2 linked regions of the Canis lupus familiaris genome follow. The protein of the gene in region 2 purifies or fractionates together with the protein of the main gene of each other region. This does not show direct contact. Links are inferred from orthologs where the notes say so. Each region holds a gene or a part of one and is shown on either strand. Other genes may lie near its edges. The genes, in order: FBXW11 and KHDRBS2.

Region 1 (3,816 bases), on a different chromosome or scaffold from region 2:
CAAGGGCTCAAGCACAAGTGGAAGAGAATAAAGATCTTGCAAGTACCAGGTCGGAAAAGGCACCTCTGCTTTCTCTGTGTTCTAATAAGGTGAGGAGTAAGCAGAGTTATGACTGCAGACACACTTACTTTGATGGTTCTGTCACCAGAGGCAGACACAATGTATTTATCATCAAAGTCTACAACATTGACAGCAGCGCGGTGGCCAACCAGGACACGGCGTAAAGTGATATCGGTGGCAGAAGCCATGTCCCACACGGCAATGGAGCGGTCCTTCGAACAGGTTACCATCAGTCCATTGCTGAAGCGTAAGTGCAGTACAGCCTCGTTGTGGTGGATCAACGTGTTTAGAACTTCACCCGTGTTCACATCCCAGACTCTAGATGAGAACAAAAAAGCACAATGCATCATTGTTAAGACAACCAGGAAGAGAGTCTAGCTTCTGTGCCCCGAGCCCATTCTTAGTAGTAGGCTGGGGAGATGTAAGCTTTGCTTGTATTTGGTGAATGGGACCTGATACCTAAGATCATGGCTAAAAGGAGCCCTCAGAAGCAATTATTCTATTTGCTAAGAAGTACTGAGAGGGTTTCAAAAAAGGAAGGCCAATCCTAGCTCTGCTCAGGTTTAGATTTAGCACCAGGTATTCAAGGACAGTGCTTGTTTGCAGGTTTGTGTTGACAACAAAATGATTCTCCCAGTAGATGGGCTCTGCAGTGAGTTTGCAGTGACAGGGAGGAGGCTTGGTAGCTGGGGAATTGAGGACAGTTTCCTTTTTTTTTTTTTTTAAATATATTTATTTATTTATTTATGATAGTCACACAGAGAGAGAGAGGCAGAGACACAGGCAGAGGGAGAAGCAGGCTCCATGCACCGGGAGCCCGATGTGGGATTCCATCCCGGGTCTCCAGGATCGCGCCCTGGGCCAAAGGCAGGCGCCAAGCCACTGCGTCACCCAGGGATCCCTTGAGGACAGTTTCCAATCTTAAGATTCCTCTGGACCTTTGACAGGCCTCGGAGTCTCTTATTTATCCACTGCAAACTAGAGACTGTAGTCATCACATCTTGTCAATTTCACTCATCTATGTGCCCAAATGCTTTATGGACAAAGTTAGTATCCCAACTGCTTCCATCCATGAGATACAGGATTCTTAGGGGCAGCCCTTTCATGCTGTAGCTTCTCTGTTAATGCAATCTCCTAAGAATTGCTCTTCACAAAGAGCAAAGGAGGAAAGACACAGGCTTGTATGGCAAAAGTAATGGCCTAGAAGCACAGAGAAAGGACACTATGACTTTTCTAAATGTCTGAAGCATGGTATCCCAGGAGAAAGCTAGCTTAACACTAGGTAATGTGTTTTTGCAGGAAAGTACACTGCCATCTCTGTAACATACAGCAATGGGAATAGGACCTACTTAACAAAAGCTTTCCACCCTACTTTGTTCAAATAAAACTACACCCAAAGTGGTTTACAAATACAGTATACAAAAACATATACAAAGTATGTATGTGTTCATTCCTGAAAAGGGTGCAATCTCAGTCTTCTCATGAAAGACTGTAAATTCAGACTAGTAAAGCAAAATCACTCACCTCACTGTAGAGTCTGAAGAACCAGTCACAATGACACGTTCATCATACTGGAGACAAAGGACAGAGCCAGTGTGTCCTGTTAACACTTTCAAACATTCCAAACTGGTTTTATCCCAAATCTATTGAGACAAGATCAACCACAAATAGTGATTTAGTATATCACATTCTGATAAATATGTTTGTCTCACCTTATTTTCTGAACCATAAATAAAACAGACCTCTGTTATAATAAATAAGAGTGGTTAAACTTCAAACAGGTGGAAAATGACAAAAAAGGGAAGAGGCAATATTGAATAGCTTTCAAAACAGATGTACTATTTTGCATACTTTGTCCCTCTAACGATTGTACTCATTATTTTTAACAGCTTTGTAACGGGAATTTTCAAATAAACTCTGAAAAGAGTTGGCTCACTCTCTGGAAAACAATGTGACAATATCTAGTAAGAACCTTAAAAATGCATACCACAATCCATTATGTTTATTTACAAAAATTTTAAAATAAAAAATGTTCAACATTTCAGACAAATTTCAAAGTAAACTCTGAAAAGTTTTTAATGAGAGAATATAATGCTTTATTACAGTAATGGTTTTTAAAACCAGAATAAAAAACCATCTATATAATGACATAACATGTATATTTAAAAAAAGAAAAACAGGAAAGGAAAGAAAATGTTAGTAATAGTTGGTTTTGTTCTCTGAGTGCTCTTTTTCTCCCTTCTTTTGATCTTTCCTAGATTTTCCAGGTTTTCAATACTGTCCTCATATAATGGGGGAGGGTAAATCATTTCTTTTTGAAGATTAGATTGTTAAAGATAGATTGTGTGGACCTGTTTCTTCCATTGTAAAATATTATCATGATTTACAGCGTCCCTCAAGTTTACTGCAAGTACCCAAGATATAACAAGTATTGTAGACATTTAACTATCTTTCTACAACAACAAGGCTTGCTTCTAACTTCTGACCTTAATTAGCACCACAGTTATTTTTAAAGAGTGATTAGTGGGTCGCCTGGGTGGTTCAGTCGGTTGAGCATCCAACTCTTGGTATCAGCTCAGGCCTTGATCTCAGGGTCGTGGATCTGAGCCCTGCATGGGGCTCCACACGCAGCTGAAAGAGTGATTAGTGATCCAGGACTGGTATAGAAAGAAGTACAGAAGGTTTCCAAACATGGGTCCAGATGACCTCTCTATAGCACACTTCTACTCTACTCTTTAAGTCTTATAAATCAAATGTATGCATATTTTAAATTAAACATGGTATATACCTCTATTAATAGAATTTTTTAGAAACATATCCAATATAAATGAAATGTAAGCCTCTGGCCAGTCTATACTTTGACAAGGTCCTTATAAACCATTTTTACCTATTCCTTAAAGGATAATTGCCAAAATTATAGTTAATTAAATTAATTAACCTGCCACAAGTTATCGGGGCTATCAATAAGTAATACATAAAAACAAGAGTTGTGTGGTCAAATGTTTTGGAAGTTGGGAAACACTGGGTGTCTCAGAGCCTTTACATGCTACTCTATCCTGTGAATTTCTAAGAAAGAGGTAGAGCATGCAGTCAACTTGAGGAAAGATAAACAGAAATTATCCAGAAAGAGGGGGAAAAAAGGTTGAGAAAATGTAAGACAGTAGCAAAAGATCTAATATTTATGTAATTAGTCTCAGAAGGAGACAGCAAGAAAATGGTACAGAAAAAATATCTGAAAAACTAATGGCCAAAGACTTTTGAAACTGGTGAATGAGGGGTACCCAGATTGTTCAGTCAGTTGGGCATCTGCCTTTGGCTTGGGTTATGATTTCAGGGTCCTGGGATAGAGCCCTATGTCAGGCCCTCTGCTCAGCAGGAGCCTGCTTCTCCCTCTCCCTCTGCCTACCACTCTACCTGCTTGTGCTCTCTCTCTCTCTGTCAAAATAAATAAAATTTTTTTTCTTAAGATTTTATTTATTTATTCATGAGAGACACAGAGAGAGGCAGAGACACAGGCAGAGGGAGAAGCAGGCTCCATGTAGGAAGCCCGATGTGGGACTCAATCCCAGGACTGCAGGATCACAACCTGAGCAGAAGGCAGATGCTCAACTGCTGAGCCACCCAGGTGTCCCTAAATAAATAAAATAAGAGAAAAGAAAAGAAAAGAAATTAATTTGGTAAATGAAAGACATGAATTTACAGATTCAAAAAGCTCCATGAAAGACTTCCTAGATATGACATCAAAAGCATAATCCA
Region 2 (4,585 bases):
TACCAACTGAAAACACGTAGCAGAAACAAGTGAAATAAAACAAATTACAATGAAAATAACAAAATAATCAACACACTGCTACTTTTAGCCCTGTGGCCTTACTAGGTAGTTGCAATTGAGCACTGATTTGCATTTATTGCCAATCAAAAATGCAAAATAAATCACTATGAAACCTCATTGGTTTACATCACTGACCTTATATACATTAGCTTCCAGAAAATCATTCTGAAGAAGTGAATCATCTGGATCATTTTTATTGCTCACTCAGTCTTGAGACTGTCTGCACAGTACTGACTGAAATGTACTTCAGTGTGCACCTTCTCTCCAAATGAATATCTATGTCAGGTTTATTTATAGCCACTGCCTTCAATCAGTGCATTTCCAGGTAAGAGAAATAAAATCATTTCAACATATTCTCCTATAGAGATCTGAAACAAAATCTGGAAATCTTGGCAGATGGCTTTTGAAAAAAACACTGAAAGATCTATAAAGAAAAATGTACGTTAAGATTTATTAGAGATTCCAAAGGACACTCACCTTATACTCTTTAGTAGGTACACACAAAGAACTTCAGGTACAAATGAAGAATTAATGTAAACTTTATGTATCTTTATTGCATACATTTCTCTATATTCCAAGGTTATAATCATCACCTCCTCCATTCTCTTTTCCTCATTATGATTTCTCTGAAATTTGAACACCTCTTTGTTTCTTACTTAGATGGTTTTCTATTTAGGAGCTTTTTCCTCCTAATTCCTTACAAAAGCAGGGCATGCTTCCCCCTACTGGGAAAAAATTAAATTACAAGGTACATTCAAACATGTTCCTAAGTATCAAGAAATCAAGTTCCTGGGAAAGATAGAATGTTAAGGAATCAAGGGCACAGCCTTGTCTGACTGTTTCACCAGCTGCAGAAATACTTACGCACTCTACTAATAGTTTCTTATATGCATTTCTTTAGTGTGGAGGTTGTGAAACGTACACTAACTCCACTAGCTTCTCATCAATGACTAATGAATTAATCATTGAGCCTGCTGTCCCAAAGAGAACTCCCAATTAGCAGGTCAGAGAAAATGATCAATTCCTAACTTTTTTTTTCATTTTAAAGACGTTATCAGCGTAATAAAGACACTTCTGGAAGATATATTGAAATAAATGATTGGAGAAGGCTTAATTGCATTTTTAATCATTTAGAACAATCTTAGGCGTTCATTAACTCATTAATTTCCAATATTCCTATTATTTATATGCAATTATCTTTATTTTTAATAAAGCAGAGGCAGAGTTTAATTTTTAAATTGACTTTTCAACTTAATTTGTATTGTTTTCATTCGGTAACCAAGAAAGCAGTAAGTATAATTGCTTTTTACCTTTCCAATTCCTCTAGAAAACCAACTCGTTCCTTGAAAAGCAGTTTAGCTGTTTCACACTTTCAAGATTTTGATTATAAATCTTTTAATTGTTTAGCATGCAAAAAGAAAAAATACCTTGCACTCCACTGCTGTCGTAAATGCCGTATAAATAAAATATTTAATCAAACCAAATGTCTATTTGAATCATACATGGAGGTTTACAATTTTTCCTTCCATGTACAACTAGGTCTCAAAAAAGAGAACATTTCTTTTAACACAGAAGGGCCAACGCAGAGGAAGTTGTCACTTTTAGTTTTGCTATAGGTAAGTCCATAACAACCTAAGCTACAAAATTTGATGATGAAGCAATTTATTATTAATGAAGGACTCCTCAAAAAAAAATTGAAGTTGTTTTTAAAAAGGCATGTGTAGATTACTACAGATATTGTATCTTTAGCAGATAGATGGCATTATTTCAAGATGAATGGAGTAATTGGGCTAAAATTTCTGTCATACAGAAGTTTGTGTGTGTGTGTGTGTGTGTGTGTGTTTAAACGATCTTTCAAAGCAACCCAAAACACAAGATATACACATACACTCCTCCTCTGGGAATGAAATCTCCTTTAACATTACAGGTACACAAAAGAAAACGCACACTTGGTAAAACAGTTGATCAATCGTAGAGTGTTCCCAGGGGCCAGCATCTCGCAGAGTACCCAATCATCACACTTCAAATAAATTGATGAGCACTTTAGCCTTTGCTACATTCACAAATACTGATGAACACACATAGTTTAATCTAGGTTAATCCTAAGACTTTCCATAGGAAAGGCTGCAATTAGATAAAGGCTATCAAAATCACTTCCCAAAATGCAGCAAAAAAAAAAAAAAAAAAACCAACAAAAAACAAAAATGCTGATTTGTAGCTAAGAAGCTCTTAGAACACACTCCATTGATCCCCATTTACTTCCAAACTGATTTCCTTTTCCTCTGCAAAGTGAAAATATCCCTGTTGACCGCGCTGCACTTTATGGTTTCTCCATCGGGGATCCTAACAGGTCACCTCAGCACTGCCATTACATCTCGCAGCTCCGGTCTGCCCCAAATTAAGACGCCGAGAAGGAGCCCCGCTGCCCGCCCCAAGAGCGGGCTCGGTCCGCCCGAGCTCGGAGGCGAGCATCCTCGGGGGGGGAGGACAGTTTCTGCGAAGGCGGCAGGCGTCCCTCCCCAACTTCACTCCCCTAACCGAGCCGCGGTGAGCAGGCGGCCAGGGGTCCGTGCCGCTCCGTGGGGGCGAGTCCTACCTTCCGCCAAGAGGCGCGATGCATGCACAAAAGATGGATCCAGGCTATCTTTCTCTGCCATCAGCTCAGGCAAGTATTTCTCCTCTTCCATAGCGCGGACTTCGGACCGTCCCCGAGCGAAGCGCAGGGTTCCGCTCGCTCGGACGCAGGGTCGCCGGGCAGCGCCTCGCTCCCGCGCTGCTCCGCCTCCGCCGCGGCCGGGGGAGCTCGGCGCGTCCTCACGGGCCCATGCACCGAGCGCCTTCGACTCCCGCCGTCGGGCCGAGCGGCCCCGCGCCCACACCTGCCGGTCCCTGCCGTCGTCCCCGGCTCGCGCGAGCCCCGGCTCACACCCGCGGCCTTAACTGGAGAGGCGGGAACAGGGCGCGTCCCACCCCCGCCCGCCGTTGATTGGTGGCGGCGCGACGAGAGGCCGGGCCCCCGCGCAGGCTGCGGGCCCTCATTGGGCCGCGCCGCACGTCGGATCGCCTGACTGGCAGGAGGCAGCTGCAGAGGGGAGGGGGGCGCAGAAGGTGCAAACGCTTTCTTCTTGCAGCCCGAGCTTTCCTGGCTATCAGGCATGCCCAGTTGCGTGGAGCACTCGGTCTTCGGCTGGGGTGCGGAGAAACGAGAGAGCGGGAAAAGCCCCGGTTTAGCGGAGAAGCTTGCGGCCAAAACAGCAGGGGAGATGGAGGGGAAGAGTGAGCGGCCGAGGCAAGGAGGAAGCACCGGGGAAAGTACCAGGAAGGTAGACGGGACTTCACCTGCGTCCCTAAGGTACAGGTGTCCCCTCTCCACCTCGCAGCTCAGACGCACTCCAGTGTGCAGGAATCAGCAGCGCACCCGGGCTGGAAATATCATGAAGACTGCATGTGGTCCGCGGCTGATATTTCCAATGAGCCTGACCTACATCTCGAGGACGCAGTAGGATGTTCATTGATAAACAAAGAGACTCGGGGGCGATATTGTAGAGCAACATGCTTCCAGTGTACAATCATTAGGGTATTGACTTAGTTCTGGTTTCCTGCCCATTCCACCCCTCCTCCCGCAATCCCTATCGATAGGAGAGGTTCTGAGAGAGGGGGCTGAATTTTAAAACTAAAAAGCCAATATAATTAGTTAGCCACAGTTTGTGAAAGAATTGGGAAGACAGGTGGAAGAAGGAAGAGACCAGCGAATAGGTGACCAAGGTTGCTCTAATTTCTCCCTTTCTCTTTATTTTAGATGTGACGGTGCGTTTCACCAGGTGCTTTTGCCGAGCTACTTTGTATCTATCCCACCTCTATTTAAAGGACAGTTAAACCCTCCTTTGGTATCACCAACACTGGAAGCAGTGCCCATCCTTCTCTTAATAATGGGGGCCTGAAAATGCAGCTTGCATGCTCCAAATGTTATAAAACGATCTTTCTAACGTCTCTTTTCATAAACGATCATTTTCCAGTTTGCCTCGCCACCGTTTTCAGAGTAGAAGATTGGGGACTAATTTTCCTACAAATAAAGCGCGCTAAAACTTTTCCAAGTTCTCTTCCAGTATTCAAACCTTTTCCTTATAATTTTTCAAGATAAGGTGGAAGAGTATATTTTACTTCTATAATTTTTAAAATGTCAACGTGTCTTCACATCCGTTATCTCAATTTGTCCTCATAGAAGCGCTCTGAGCACTGGGTGTTATGCTATATGTTGACAAAATGAACTTCAATTAAAAGAAGAAGAAGAGAAGAAGAAGAAGAAGAAGAAGAAGAAGAAGAAGAAGAAGAAGAAGAAGAGCTCTGAAAAACATGGCATAGGTGTTGCTTTTTCCGTTTTATAGGTATGGAAATGAAGGCAAAGTCCAAGAAGTTCAGTGATCCAGAAGTAACAAAAACGATGCCGTTTGGTACCAGCTATGTTCATCCCACCCAGAAGCTGAACCTGTTACAAAAGGGCCAATGGTGACGGAGTATGCGGCTA

The links.
Region 1: the proteins of KHDRBS2 (region 2) and FBXW11 purify together in Homo sapiens (affinity purification with mass spectrometry; 3 studies listed by BioGRID and IntAct, counting the BioPlex papers as one, with this or other methods). This does not show direct contact. The link is inferred for Canis lupus familiaris from reciprocal best matches to the Homo sapiens genes KHDRBS2 and FBXW11.

What each region holds. Positions count from the first base shown.
Region 1 is NC_049225.1:41,234,315-41,238,130, reverse strand, and holds part of FBXW11 (F-box/WD repeat-containing protein 11), read right to left. Parts: intron 1,704-3,816; coding exon 1,585-1,703; intron 379-1,584; coding exon 129-378; intron 1-128.
Region 2 is NC_049233.1:26,362,024-26,366,608, forward strand, and holds the start of KHDRBS2 (KH domain-containing, RNA-binding, signal transduction-associated protein 2), read right to left. Parts: upstream 2,917-4,585; 5' UTR 2,748-2,916; coding exon 2,657-2,747; intron 1-2,656. UniProt on the Homo sapiens protein: RNA-binding protein that plays a role in the regulation of alternative splicing and influences mRNA splice site selection and exon inclusion. Binds both poly(A) and poly(U) homopolymers. Phosphorylation by PTK6 inhibits its RNA-binding ability.